2 linked regions of the Stegostoma tigrinum genome follow. The protein of the gene in region 1 interacts with the protein of each later gene in a pairwise test. Links are inferred from orthologs where the notes say so. Each region holds a gene or a part of one and is shown in the gene's direction. Other genes may lie near its edges.

The links.
Region 2: the proteins of bhlhe40 (region 1) and histone-lysine N-methyltransferase Smyd1-like interact in binary tests that used the Homo sapiens proteins (3 or more experiments, as listed by UniProt). The link is inferred for Stegostoma tigrinum from reciprocal best matches to the Homo sapiens genes BHLHE40 and SMYD1.

Annotation. Positions count from the first base shown.
Region 1 is NC_081364.1:58,168,535-58,176,078, reverse strand, and holds the start of bhlhe40 (class E basic helix-loop-helix protein 40), read left to right. Parts: upstream 1-4,480; 5' UTR 4,481-5,107; coding exon 5,108-5,184; intron 5,185-5,313; coding exon 5,314-5,380; intron 5,381-5,532; coding exon 5,533-5,640; intron 5,641-6,467; coding exon 6,468-6,591; intron 6,592-7,223; coding exon 7,224-7,544. UniProt on the Homo sapiens protein: Transcriptional repressor involved in the regulation of the circadian rhythm by negatively regulating the activity of the clock genes and clock-controlled genes.
Region 2 is NC_081354.1:176,261,399-176,268,660, reverse strand, and holds the start of histone-lysine N-methyltransferase Smyd1-like, read left to right. Parts: upstream 1-4,243; 5' UTR 4,244-4,370; coding exon 4,371-4,507; intron 4,508-7,262. UniProt on the Homo sapiens protein: Methylates histone H3 at 'Lys-4' (H3K4me), seems able to perform both mono-, di-, and trimethylation. Acts as a transcriptional repressor. Essential for cardiomyocyte differentiation and cardiac morphogenesis.

The DNA of each region.
Region 1 (7,544 bases):
ATGAGTGTCCATTTTGTGCACAAATGCCCGGATTCTTCTGACCTATCACTGAGATGCATAAAGTCTGAAACAATAACGAAAAATGTTGTTGCCTCACCTGTCAGCCTGGTTTGAGAGAAACAACTCTATTGACCTCTCACTTATAGCTCCTCATCACGTGAAGAGGTGCACCCACGCACTATCTCACTAGAATAACTAACCAGTTTCCTGAGGCACAGCGGAGGTCTCAACACCATTTGGAAGTGCAACCAGGCAAGGAGCCAGCAACTTAAGTATAGGAATGGGGGAGGGAGGAATGCTGTAAATTAGTGAGAATTTCACTGTTGTGAATATCATTAAGTGAGAAGTGATTTTTGTGTTAATTTGTTTGATATTTGGGTATCCATGGCAAGAATGGGATTTATTATCGATCTTTCAAAATGTGATTTTAACCTTCGTCTGCATAAAAGTTCCATGATGTGGAGGGGGGAGGAGATGTAGTTTTACTTTCAGATTTTGAGCCATATTAATGAAGGAACAGAGTTACGATTCCAAGTCATAATGGGATTCTTAGAGCTGGTAATGTTCCAAGGTCTTTGTCCTTCTTGGTGGAAGCTTCAGTTTGGGAGGTGCTGGTAAAATAAATGCCACTTTAGGGATGATTACTCAATCAGAGATGGCAAGAACTGTAGATGCTGGAGTCAGAAACAACGCAGTGTGGAGCTGGAGGAACACAGTAGTCCCAGGCCAGGCAGCATCAGAGGAGCAGGAAAGTTGACGTTTCGGGTCGGGTTGTTTCTGAAGAAGGGTCCCGAGCCGAAACGTCAACTTTCCTGCTCCTCTGATACTGCCTGGCCTGGGCCTGCTGTGGTCCTCCAGCTCCATACTGTGTAGTCTCTACTTTAGGGATTTACTTCAATCCAGATTTGCTGGGTGGACTGAATAGATAAGGTGGGCTACGTTGTACTGAATTGGCTTTAAGCTTCTTGAGTGGTGTTGGTGCTGTCCACTACCTTGGGTAGAAAAGTTTTGGGGAGTAACTTGTCCCAGACTTCCCAACTGTTTATGTGGCTTTGTGGCTTAGCGTTTATGTATATTTCAAGCATATCCCATAGGTTGTATAGTAACTCAAGTTGGCATGCAGTGATGACTGCAAACGCCTAATTGAAAGTCTCTCCACTTAGAACAAAAGGTAGATTTACAGGGTGGGAGCCATGTGGTGTGCTGTTTATCAAAGGATGTCGGTTTTTTTTAAAGAAAGGATTTATATATATGTATATATGAGTTAATAAGTAACAGCAATTATTGATGTATTAGCCTGCACCTGCCTTGGGGATTGGAAATGGGACTCTCTCAGGTGGTGATAGTATGCTTTGAACTGAGAGGCTAGGCAGGTCCACAGTGGTCTCGGACGTTCCGCGTCCTGCTTATATGCAGTCCCCGACCGCCCTGTCAGAAACAGGGACACTTCCAAACTCTCCGTTTCAAGCTCTTGTTCAATAGAAAAGGAGCCTGCTACTTCTTGCAATGTTCCGGGAGCCGTTAGGTGCATTGCAATAAAAGCCCACTGGGGCTTGCTCTATTGCTTTGGGAAATGGGGTACAGCGTGGTCGATCTGCAAACTTACCCCTACAAACGTACGCAAACCAAATTCCCGTTTGTTTTTTTTTAAAAAGTTCAGCATGGAACGGTGTAGATGTTTTTAATAAACCTGCTGGGACGCATTGGGACAAGGACCGGGGCTTGAACCCAGATTTTCTGGCTCAGAGACAGGGACACGACCGCTGCACCACAAGAGGAAAAGCTAATCTAGATGGAGCCAACTCACCCCAAGTCTGGCTGTTGAAGAGTCCCTGGGGACAATGAGGAAAGTGGTACCTCTTGATACGTTTGTGATCACGTTTGGGCTGAACATTGAGACCATGTGGGGGCAAGTGGGGGGTGGCAGGAAAACTGTGATTCGGAAATCTGGCAGAGGCTGTGAAGGGCAACGAGCAAGCCAGAAAAATCAAGAGCGTGGCGTGGCCCATCGAGCTTGGGAATGAATAGTTTTTCTTCACTGTGGCTACTAACACGTTTACAGTTGCTGGAAATCCCCGAGACAAGTCTTGTCCATTGAGTTCAACGCGCACACACAAAAAAATACCCGTGACTGCAGATCAAGTTTAAGCTTGTGCAAAGAGAAACGGGTTGGTAAAATAGGTTTTAGGGACGAGTGCACTTTTTTTGAAAATAAAGGCACAAGGTGAAACAGGGGAGGGGAAGATGTGGATTAAGCAATACGATGTAACATAACCCCGCTGTGTCCAAGTCAACATACAAAAGATAGCACACACACACACGAGACGGTTGCACCGCGTGGATTTTTTGGCGTTGTTTCTTTTCTCTGCGCACTTTTTTTTAACGTAGAAGTTTTTTTCTAATTTTCGCAACGAAATGCATTGCCCGTGGTGGGAAGCAGATTCCGGAATAATTTGGCTGCACCGAAGACGAGAAAAGATCAAGATGAGCGGGGGTTAACTTTTGGACAGGTTGAATGGCTTATTTGTTTCACATCTACAGTTGGGGTGCAGCTCCTGATGCTGAGCTACCCAGACATCCCTTGGCTAACCCTAAACCACCTCCCCCCCCCCCCCCCCCCCCATTTCCCCTGCAGTCTTGAAGAAATGAAGCTTGATCGCCGTGAACATGTTTACAAGCGACCACCAGTGTAAAATATGCTAATTTCATTAAAAAGTGTGTGCTTAGAACGGCGATTATATACGCCTGTCCATAATATATTTAACATATTTAAAGGGAGTTGACGTTTTTGTTTGTTTAAAAAAAGGCTATTTGACTGGGGGAGGCAGCACGTCATTTGAAGAAACTTTCAGGAACCCGTCCAATCAGAGCTGATGATGGCTGGTTCGCGTCCAACTCGGAGGAGGTCAGGTTAGGAACGCGAAGAGCTACCGCCCGAAATTGTGGAGGCCGGAAAAGTTGGCTGCTGATACGGTGTATGGAAGGGTGGGTGGGTGGGTCATGGGTCGTCTGTCTGGGTCAGCCGCCTTTTCCCTTTCTCACCTTCCGAGTCAGGGGACGTGCGGTCTTCACGTGTATTCAACTGTGGATGACCCCCGCCGCTATGGGAATCTTAGAGAGAGTTGAGCCGAAAGGGGCTGAACCTCTACTGTAATCCTTCGATAACACTGGCCCTTTATTTAGAGGGTGGGGGGGGGTGTGTGTGAACATGATCTCGTATTCCTTCCAACCGGAGCCTTCTCTTGGATGTTTAAAACAAAGCAGAATTCTCAAAAACATCTTTCGAGAATTTCTCCCGAAGCGATCCTGCCTAAAAGGATATCCTATGCCCACTGTTAATGTGGGAGACCGGGCTCATCGGAGACGCGTTCTTTTAAATATGTAAATAAAGTGTAACGCGGGGCGAACTAACAACGGAAACAGAAAGGGCACAACCCCGAGTCGTCTACCCACCTTCCCCCCCGCCACCCCATTCATTGCTCGATATTGTTTTAAGGGTCTGATCGGGGAGGCTGAGGAATTTGTTATTGGTGGATGTCCCTGTCCCCAGCGTGGTTCAATCCGTCTGCTGTCACGTTCCCCTCCCCATGGTCAGACTGTGAAAAGCAGGCTCTGTCTGTGTGGTCTTCGCTAGCGTTTTGCCAAAGGGACCTCACGTTACCCCGCACGGTGTCTTTAAGGCGGAGCCAAATATCAGCGTTCAAGGTGCGGAGAGCTAACAGCCTTAGAAAGAGAGAACACACACATAGATGTTAATCTGCACTCACTATCATAATTAGTCTGAAGTAATGGGGGGGGGGTGTTAACTTCAATTAAAGAGGGGCATTCAGATTATTTTTTCAGCCAGGAGCGAATGAGCTCTGAATTTCCAATAAAAAGTGATGTATATTAACCATCACACATCCACCCTCCCCTCCCTCGCTATGGATATGCAACGAACAGCCACCGCCAACAAACCGTACTGTCTCTGTTGCAGTTGCATTTTACTCCGGACTGACAGTGGCTTCACGTTGAGGACGGATCGCTCACGTTTCCCGCGGGCGCTGAAGTTGTCAGATCGATCGGTCTGCGGCCAAGGCGTTTTTTTTTGCCTGGGAATCTGCAAACAGTGGTCAAGCCCAGGACACTGTGCAATGATAGCAGTGCATGGTCCGGTGGGACATCTCTCGCTTATCTGTTGCACCCCAAACCCCCAAACCTCAGCTTCTAACTGGATGTGGCCGACTTGAAAGTCTGAGACAATATTTATCACCGCAGACGCGATATAGATAGAAAGGGGCAATCTGCATGTCGGATTTCCCGTCTGACTCGGTGCTCATTGATGGTTGCAATTTTTAATAAAAAAACAGGCACAACGCAACCGTTTCACCCATTTTTAGCCCATCAGCCTTGCTAAATGTCATGAGCTATGTTTTAGCCGGGGGGGGGGGGGGTTGGAAATGAATTACAGTCTTGCTTCACTTCACATGTTCTACTGGGAAGCGTGACCTGAAAAACATATAGGGTGACTTTACGACAATACCCATCAAGCTGCACGACTCGCTGAACTGACCAACGCGACCAACGCAGAGAAAACAGAAACCCACATGCTGGAATTGTCAGTGATCGGTTGATAATCAATCACTTCCAGGCATCACATTGTGGGGGGCCCTGTGAGGTGAAGGAGAAATGTTGATACATGCATTTTAAAACACAGGCACGCAATATTCCAGTCACGGACTGACGAGTTGTCCTACTTGTTTATTTTAAAATAACACAGCGTTAAATGTAATGTCCTTTCCCCCAACCCGGCTTGTTTTGGAGAAACAGATTAGAGGGATGTGAGCGGCCTCCTGTACACGTGAGTCTCATGTGACTTGAGCTTTTTTTTACTGTAAGAGGAAAGACGTGCCTGGAGTCACACGGTTGAACACGTAGCCCTGAACACCCACACGTTTCATTAAAGGCAGGCTAGTGTGGTGCAGTAAACTCCGGCTGATCACAGTCAGCAGGATACACTGAACGAGAGAGAGAGAGCTGGGCAGACAGACAGACAAGCCAGACAGATAGGGAAAAGGAAAGCCCCAGCCAGCCAGCAATCACTATACAAAGCAGCGAAATTACTGAAATGGACAGGATCACCGCTGGCCAGCCACCTCCTTGCCTGCCGAAAATCCCAATTTTTGAAAATAACGAGATGCAAGGGTATGCCTCTGAATTTTAATTTGTGTTTTAATTTTGCTTCATCGTGAACCGAATTTGCTCTTTAATTCTGAAAAGAGAAAATTCACTTGCCTGAGTTTCATTTTTTTTCTGCCTCTTTCCCCCCTCCAGAATGGAATTCTCTCACATGTTTGTTTATAAAGCCAAGAGGGGATTAAAGAGAGGTGACGACAGCAAGGTACAGTGTCCCTTTATCTTCTGTATATAGGCAGTGGTAGACTTGGGTTTATATCTGGATGGCGTTTTTAATTGCGGCATTGCAAATCGACCCTTGTTAAGTTACGCGCACTCATGGCAATTACTAACCCTCTTTTATTTTTAAAATCTCAGGAAACGTATAAATTACCACACCGGCTGATCGAAAAGAAAAGACGGGATAGGATTAATGAATGCATAGCCCAGTTAAAGGACATGCTGCCTGAACATCTCAAACTGACGGTGAGAGAAGCAAATTCAATGTGCTTTGACATAACTGGTTCACAGCATTAAAGACGCCGTTTGTCCTATCGATTCAATTGCTGAACTGGGGGGTCGGGGTGGGGGGGGGGGGAGGTGTGTAGATTATTTATGTAAACCTGCAATATCTCTTTCTGTTTTGCTTTCGAGTAAAATCGAAGATCCAAACGCGTTTAACGAAGGGGAAAGTTCAAAATTTGCTTTGAATAAAAATCAAAGGAAATTAGAATCTTAAATAGATTAAATGGATTGTTTTGGTAGCGGGTGAGGGGTTGGTGCAGAGAATATGAATTTTTTTTGCATAATGTACACGCTTGGGATTTCCTAGTTAGTTTCTGCAGTGCTGCTCCTCAGGAGCACCTGCAAAGTGATTCCAGTAAAATGGTTGCAGGAAATATTTATAATATGCTGTTCAGCCAGATCCCACTGATATAGAACATTTAACAATTAAAATCAACGTGAGTCTAGATTTTTATTGATTGGATATTAATTGTCTAGTTATTGGCATTTTTACGGTTGGTTACAATTCAGTTAGGTATTGTAATTTTTATGGTTAATTATTACATAGTAGTTGTATCAATGGTTTTCTTAATGGTTATTTTTGCAGTGAGTTACAAGGTTTCTTAATAGTTGCCCATGCCTTTTGATTTATGTATTTCAGTAACTGAGAATGTGAGATGCAAGTTGATCTTGTGTGGAACAAACAGGCTTGTCCTCAGCCTGCTTGTGAGGGTGTTTTTGTAGAATGCCACGTCATTTACCCTGTAAGTGATGTGCTCTTGTTAATAATGCACGCATCTTGATTTCAGACTTTGGGACATTTGGAGAAGGCTGTGGTACTTGAGCTTACCTTGAAACACGTGAAGGCATTGACTGGCCTCATTGAACAGCAGCAGCAGAAAATATTAGCCCTGCAAAATGGTCTGCAAATCGGTAAGTTCCGTATTCACCCTCTGAACATACCAGAAACTATTCGTTATTAGTTCCTCTAAAAATTAAATGAAAGATAAGATGTTTGAGTTAGTTTATGCTTTAGATAGGTTTTATTTTAGTGTTATGAAAAATTGTCTGATGACATTAATATATTTGCGACACCAACTTCTCGCCTCCTCTCGGTTCTGAATCTTTAATTTTAAACCTTGCAACTTGTTGTCATAGTGACAGGGTTGGTACAGTCCAAAATGGTGGTAGGAATGCTGCTGAATTTATTTCTCTTCTCGACAGTTCAGACATTGAGTGTTCCCAAACATGCTATTTTAAAGGTTTTGAGCTGCTTAAGAAATCTGCTTCTATTAATAAAGCACGATGGGAACTTTAAGTTGCACTGTATCAGAAACCAGACTGGCTGCCAATTGTAAACTCTGGTGAGCAAGCTAAAAATGGAAGCCACTGCATTCACCAAATTGAATTCTAGATAGACCTGAGGTGCAGGCACTGAGAGATGATTGAAACTGAAAAATTCTGCAAAGATCCTGAAGTGCAATTAGAGTGTGGCCTTTTTTTATTTCTAAGGGAAGGATTTTATGTAGGTCACCTGGTTTAACGCAGATTTCTTTGCTTCTCAGGTGAACAAACAGCCAAGGCGACTGAGTCAAGCCATGAGATGTTTCAGTCTGGCTTCCAGATGTGTGCCAAAGAGGTGCTGCAATTCCTGGCAAAGCATGAAAACCTGAGAGAGTTGAAGCCTGCGCACCTGATCAATCACCTTCAGAAGATGGGGGCAGACATCCATTCTGGGGGATGCATTAATGGGATAGGGCAGACCTCGACACGGTTCCCAGAAGGAGACTTCAGGTCCAAGCCCTTGAGTGAGGCTGAAGGTCCTGGCAAAAACTGTGTGCCTGTAATCCAGAGGACTTGTCCAGCCAGTGGTGAGCAGAGCGGCA
Region 2 (7,262 bases), on another chromosome or scaffold:
TTGTGGTCAGCGTGGAGAGTTGTTGCAGGTTGCAAAGGGACTTTGATAGGATTCAGAGCTGGGCATAGAAGTGACAGATGGATTTCAACTCAGAAAAGTGTGAAGTGATTCGTTTTGGAAGGTCAAATTTGAATGCAGAATACAGGGTTAATGGCAGGATTCTCGGCAGTGCGGAGGAACAGAGGAACCTCGGGGCCCACATCCATAGATCCCTCAAAGTTGCTACCCATGTTGATAGTGTTGTAAAGAAAGCATATGGTGTGTTGGCTTTCATCGACAGGGGAAATGAGTTTAAGAGCCGCGAGGTTATGCTGCAGGTCTATAAAACCCTGGTTAGACCACACTTGGAATATTGTGTTCAGTTCTGATCACCTCAATATTGGAAAGATGTGGAAGCTTTAGAGAGGGTGCAGAGGAGATTTACCAAGATGCTGCCTGGATTGGAGGGCAGCCTTATGAGGAAAGGTTAAGGGAGCTAGGGCATTTTACATTGGAGCGAAGAAGGATGAGAGGTGAATTGTACAAGATGATGAGAGGCATAGATAAAGTGGATAGCCAGAGACATTTCCCGAGAATGGAAATGACTATTATGAGGGGGCATTATTTTAAGGAGATTGGAGGAAGGCGTAGGGGAGATATGAGAGGTAGGTTCTTTACACAGAGAGTGGTGGGAGTGTGGAATGCACTGCCGGTAGTCGTAGTAGAGTGAGATACATTAGGGTCATTAAAGCAACTCTTGGATATGCACATGGATGATAGTAAAAGAGACAACAAAGTGTGAAGCTGGATGAACACAGCAGGCCAAGTAGCACCTTAGGAGCACGAAAGTTGACGTTTCGGGCCTAGACCCTTCATCAGAGAGGGGTCTAGGCTCGAAAGGTCAGCTTTTGTGCTCCTGAGATGCTGCTTGGCCTGCTGTGTTCATCCAGCTTCACACTTTGTTGTCTCAGATTCTCCAGCATCTGCAGTTCCCATTATGTCTGGATGTTAGTAAAATGTAGGATATGCAGGGTAGTTTCGCTCTCAGAATAGAATAATAGGTCGGTACAACATCGTGGGCTGAAGGGCCAGTACTGTTGTATATTCTATGTAATTTAGATTCATTAAACTCACTTTGTGTATTTCATCATATTTCTTTGCATTAAGTTTTGACTATTCTCTCTTTGCCTCTTTCATGAATCAACCTTCTTCCAACTATAAAATTGGGTGGGATCTTCCCATGCCATGAATGATGATGACTAATTTGGAAGGACTGAGTGAGATGTTGAATGGGGGCTTTCATTCGGAATCAACAATTCAAATTTTCCAACTGAGTTCCAGATGTGGAAAGAACATTCCCGCCAGTGAGAGGTGAGAGGCCTATTAATAGGAATGATTGCTCAGCCTCAACCTCACTTATGTGTAAGTACACCTTGTTTATCTGCAGACTTCTGTCTACCACCCTCCAAATGGAAACCAGTTGCAGAAATACTCAACAAAGAAAAAGTTTCTAGAAAAAGTTTCTAAGTGGGTGCCTGGCAATCCCAGCCCACTGCTTCAGCCTCCAGAAACCAAGCACCAAAGTCTCACTGCGGTCTCCATGGACAGTGGCCGCACACATTCTATGCCCACGGACATTGGCAGCCAAGACCATATCAGTCTTTCTGCAATCTCATGCCACACCTCCGACCCATTCGCAGTAAGCTCCATTCTGGAATGCATCAATCATTGCAGTGCTGCGCATGATAGACTTGGTGTGGGGGAATAGGCATCGATAAGGGGTTGGAACGTTTTGCATCTTGGGGATCCTCACATGCTGTCTCAGCATTCACTCACTTTGCTTAGATGTTTACAACATCCTCAGGTTTACCATGCCTCTTTTCCCTATGCTCCTTCAGGCAGAATGAAGGGATAGATCATATTTCTACCTTGACTTGCCTTCTTGTGCAGACACAAAGCCCGACATTCTGTTATGGTGGTCAGCAGTTCGTCAGACCAGGGGTTGGGCATGTTACTGTGTGGCACTATACTGAGTCAATCTCACACCTGCATCATATGTCAGCACTGTACATAGAAAATACACCACACGCGCAGCAAGAAAATAGACTTTACTCGAAGGCTCCAGAGGCTAGCCCGAAACATCAGCATTTGTGCTCCTAAGATGCTGCTTGGCCTGTTGTGTTCATCCAGCCCCACACTTTGTTATCAAGGTAAGAACCTCTTCAGCCATGGGGTGCTGTTACAGCTGGTCAAGAACAGCCCTTGATGTCACCTCAGGAGCTTGGACATGGTCATTTGGCCAACTGGGATGGCCATTCACCTCTTTGTAGCTGAGGGGCTGAATGTCAAGCAGCACAGCACCCATCTGGTTCATTCTCCCCACATCATGGACTATTTTCTCCTGGAATGAGAGAAAGGGAGGGTTTGAATGAGATTAAGGTAGGAGGCAGAACTGGTAGTTTTGGAGCAGGTGGTCAGAAGCTGATGCTAGAAATGATGGGTTAGTGGTACTATCACTGGACTGTTAATCCAAGGAACCAGATAATGTCTTGGGGAGCCAGGTTTGAATCCCGCCGTGGCAGGTGGAGATTGAATTCAATAAATATCTGGAATTAAGAGTCTAATGATGATCGTGAATCCATTGTCGATTGTCAGAAAAACCCTGATGCAGGGCAGTTTTGCTCTCAGAGTAGAATAATAGGTCGGTACAACATCGTGGGCTGAAGGGCCAGTACTGTTGTATGTTCTATGTAATTTAGATTCATTAAACTCACTTTGTGTATTTCATCATATTTCTTTCAGAAAAACCCATTCAGTAATGTCCCTGAGGGAAGGAGACTGCCATCCTTACCTGGTCTGGCCTACATGTAACTCCAGACCCACAGCAATGTAGTTGACTCTTAACAGCCCTCTGGGCAATTAAGGATGGACAATAAATGCTAACTGGCCAGTGTTGCCGTCATCCCATGAATGAATAAAGAAAAAAAAGTGGCCTGAGTGAGTGAATAGGCAACCCAGAGGCCATGGTGTGAGGGAATTGGGTGGGTGAGAATGAGTGAGGAAAGATGCTTCACACAATACTGAGACTGGTATGGTAGGAAGAGGGTATAGTGGCAGAGATAGAGTGAGAGTAAGGTAGCAGAGTGAAGGTGGTGGTAGTCTTCCTGGCAGAGTGGGGAGGTCATTGACCTTCTTCTAGCGGTGCTGTCTTCCTTCCAGCCAGATGCCTGCAATTGCATTGACCTGGGTGGTAAATATGTGCCTTAGGCTGGCAGACTTTAGTGATGTGCCCTACTCTGTCAATCTTGGCGAAGGGGTAGTCCTAACCTTGCATCACTCTCTCCGGTGGAGCTCCAAGCCCCTGCCCACAAAGCAGGCACCAAATTCCCTTCTCTCCCATGCCAGGCTGAATGTCACCAAATGCTTGACCAGGTGAACAATGACCTTTTAAAAGTGGTACCAATACAAGGTCAGTGATAAGCACTTTCAGTTACAGCGAGTGGGAGAACGAGGTCAGTATCAGACAAGAGGGAAACTATTGGAATGTGGTAAATCGTCAATGGGGTGAGTTTGGAAACTGTAACATGAGAATACTCTTTAGGCTTTGCAAAGTGAAACTCTCTGTGCAAGTCAACAAAAATGACACTTTGCCTGAAGAAAAGGTAAGATTCAGCCCATATTTATTTCATTTAGCTTAGTGTTCAGATAAGCTTAATTTATTGTTGGATTGGGTAACCAGCACTACCCTTCTAACATGCCCCTTTCAATCGCTTAACCTTTGTCAGGTTTCTGGAGCCTTCCATGAAACATTCTCGTGCCTTTGCATTCACTAATGCTTTAGGCCAGTGCCAGAGTCTACTGTTCAGTGTGCAGAAATTCAAGAGACTGATAACACGCTGATATCTTTTAGCGAGTCTCACAAGTAATGGCAACTCCTCTTCAGCTGTCACACTTTGACGGACAATGGCATCTGTTTTCCAAAAATAAATCCACTGGCTGCACCCAGCTCATTTCTCAAGGGGATAGAGACATTACACATGTAATGTTGCAGGATTGTTGTAATACCTGACCAAAAATTTTCCTTTTTCTTTGAAATGAGCTATGACTAACTATTCTGAATCATCGTCAGGAGTTAAAGGAATGTACAATAGTTTGTCTGAATTAACCTAGGCATCGTGTTTCACCAGGTGGGTGTTCTTGCTATTTTCATCCACAAAGCCGACGCTCCCCCCCCCCCCTCAACTCTCCTCACCATTTTTTGACTTGGTACAGGCTGGATGAGTCAGACCATTTATAGAGCTCACTTTTGACTGCCTGAACGTGTCAAGATTAGCTGAAGATTAGTGGCCAAGGTTAAAGCTCGTAGTGCTGGGCTCTTGCTCATTCTCTCAATGACGGTCGGTGACATGGATAAAGTAGAAATCTTCGATGCAGATGGCAAGGGCAGGGGGCTGAAGGCCAAGCAAGATCTTCTGAGTGGGGATGTGGTCTTTGCTGAGCCAGCGTATGCTGCGGTTGTGTTTGACAAGTAAGTACGTCTGTCTACTTGTCTTCCTACAAAGTCACCTTACATTGCTCCAGAATGCAAGTTATAGAATCAAGTTCAGGTGTTGGATAAGAGTTTTTATTTACATTTGATTTTAATACAGCAGCGCTTCTTCGACATTTCATTTCCTATTGACTGTTTAATTGATTGAGTTCCTTGTCTTCATTGACTGAATTCTGCAAGGAATGCCCGAAAACTGTTGTCTTTAATTCCACTGGATACTACAGTCTTCCAGTTGACAATGATCTAGCTTCACCATGAGCTGGTGGGACAATCATATGGGATCATTTTACGTTGCTACAGGGAGTTACTTGGCTCAGTTCTTTCCATTTGGGGGTTTTCAGGCCAAAGGTATTTCTTTAGGGAGAAAGGTTCAGAACCCAGAGTCAAACAGCACAGAAACAGATCCTTTGGTCTGACTTGTCCACTTTGGCCAGATATCCCAATCTGACCAAACCCTATTTGCCAGCATTCAAAGTGGGAACTGTCATTTATTTCATAGAAACCAATCAGGGCTGTTTTTGAAGTGGTTGTTATTAAAATGGAGGAAAATTGACAAAACCTCATTTTTTTAGTTGGCCTTTCCTAGTTGCTTGGGAAGGTGATGACAAGCATTTCTATTTAACTTTTTAATCCTTGCCTTGCTAAAGCTCCAATGTCGGTATTTGATGTGAAACTGCAGGGTTTGAACCTCGTAGTGTTCCAGAAGTGGCGCTTAAATTCAGGTCAGGATGATCTTGATATTGAGGAGAACTTGCAGGTGACGCTGTCCCTCCAATCCTGGTACTCTTATCCTTCTCAGTGTGGCCGAGACTGTAGACTGGGACATGACATTCGAAATGCGGCTAGAAAGTGGCTGCTGTTACCGTAACCTGCCGGGAGATTCATCCAGTGGCAGATCTCCCGATCAAGTGGATCACATTCCGTCCAGGATGGTTTAATGTTTCAGATATCCCGTTCACTATGTCAATCTAATCCCAACTTGAGCCTTGTAAGTTATAGAGTGCACTGAATGAGTGGGAAGTGAGTCACTTGTCAGAGTGATGGAGTTTTTGCTTTGTTCTTGTGTCTGTCTTGTTGCTTTGACTTAGCATACTCGACAAAGGATTTAGAATCACGGATTTGTGGAACTTCCGAAGGAGGCCTTTCAATCGATCATGTCTAAGATAGATCACAACAAAAACAAGTCACCTATTGCCATTCCTCTGCCTTTTCCCTGATAGAATCATAAAATGATCAATGGTGGAATGTTTATATGTAGTGCTGTTGGAGACTTAGGGAGAAATGCGAAGTGGTTACACAGTCTGCATTTGGATTCACAATGTGAAGGAAACTGCATGGTGAGCAATGAGTACAGAAGGCTGGATTGAAAGAAAAAGTACAAGAAAACTGCTGCCTCACCTGTAAGATGTGCTTGGGACCCCGAACGGTAAGAAAGAAGAGGGGACAGTTCCACTGTCACAATTCTACCAATGCATGGGGAGGGGGGCATGGGTTTGCTCTCAGTACAGCTGAGCTATTTCCTACTATTCACATCTATTTTGAATCCAGATCTCTCCTTTGTGGCCATTAGAATTCACTTTGCCTTTTGCTCCAGGCATTCTCATGATCTGTTCCCCTCACCCCCCGTCCACCTTTGTCAACAGCATAAAAAGCATTATTTTCCAGCCCTCTTCAATTCTGAGGAAGAATCACTGGATTTGAAATGTTTCTCTCTTCAGAGATGCTGCCAGGCCTGCTGTGTTTCTCTGCCACTTTCTGTTTTTATTTCTGATTCCCAAAGTCCACAGTACTTCAATCCCACATAACTGCTCTGCTCAATATGGTTTGCATCAGGTGTGTCTCTCCTGGGGGAAAGCAGAAATGTTTGTTGCAATGTCCTGAAAAGATAAAACATCCTGGTTGACTCTTAGGAAACCCTGGTTTGCACTCAGCCTGAGAGGGAACATTTGGGAAGACATAAACCACATTGAGACTTCACTGGGGATGTACAGAGGTCAAGTCAAGACATCAGAGAGTGAAAGTAAATAGCCCATTTGTCTCACCTTTCCTATCTGTGACAGAGTCTGCAGAACAAGCAATGGACTTATCAACCCTTTCAAAAGTTGGGAAGTTATGATGTAGTTGCTCTGGATCTTGGTGCAGTTGCACTTGGAGTATGGTGTTCAGTTTTGGTCACCTTGCTATAGGAAGGATGTTATTAAACTGGAAAGAGTACGGAAGAAATTTACAAGGATGTTACCAGGAGTCAAGGGACTGAGTTATTGGGAGAGGTTGGACAGGCTAGGATTTGTTTCTTTAGAGCGTAGGAGTCTGAAGGGTGATCTTATAAAAGTGTATAAGATCACGAGAGTCATGGTTTAGGGTGAATGCACTCAGTCTTTTTTCCAGGGTTGGGGAATCGAGGATTACAGGGCATCAGTTGAAGGTAAGAGGGGAAAGAATACTTTGGAACCTGAGGGGCAACTTTTTTACACAGAGGGTGGTACACATATGGAATGAGCTGCCAGTGGAAGTGGTTGAGGCAGGTACATTAACAACATTTAAAAGGCATTTGGATGAATACATTGAAAGGAAAGGATGAGAAAGATATGGGTCAAGTGCATGGAAATGGGGTTAGCGTGGATGGATATTTTGGTCGGCATGGACCAGTTTGGGCTGAAGGGCCTTTCTCCATGCTGTAGGACTCTATGGCCCTGTGACACTATATCCCATCAAACCATAGTGGATGCAAATC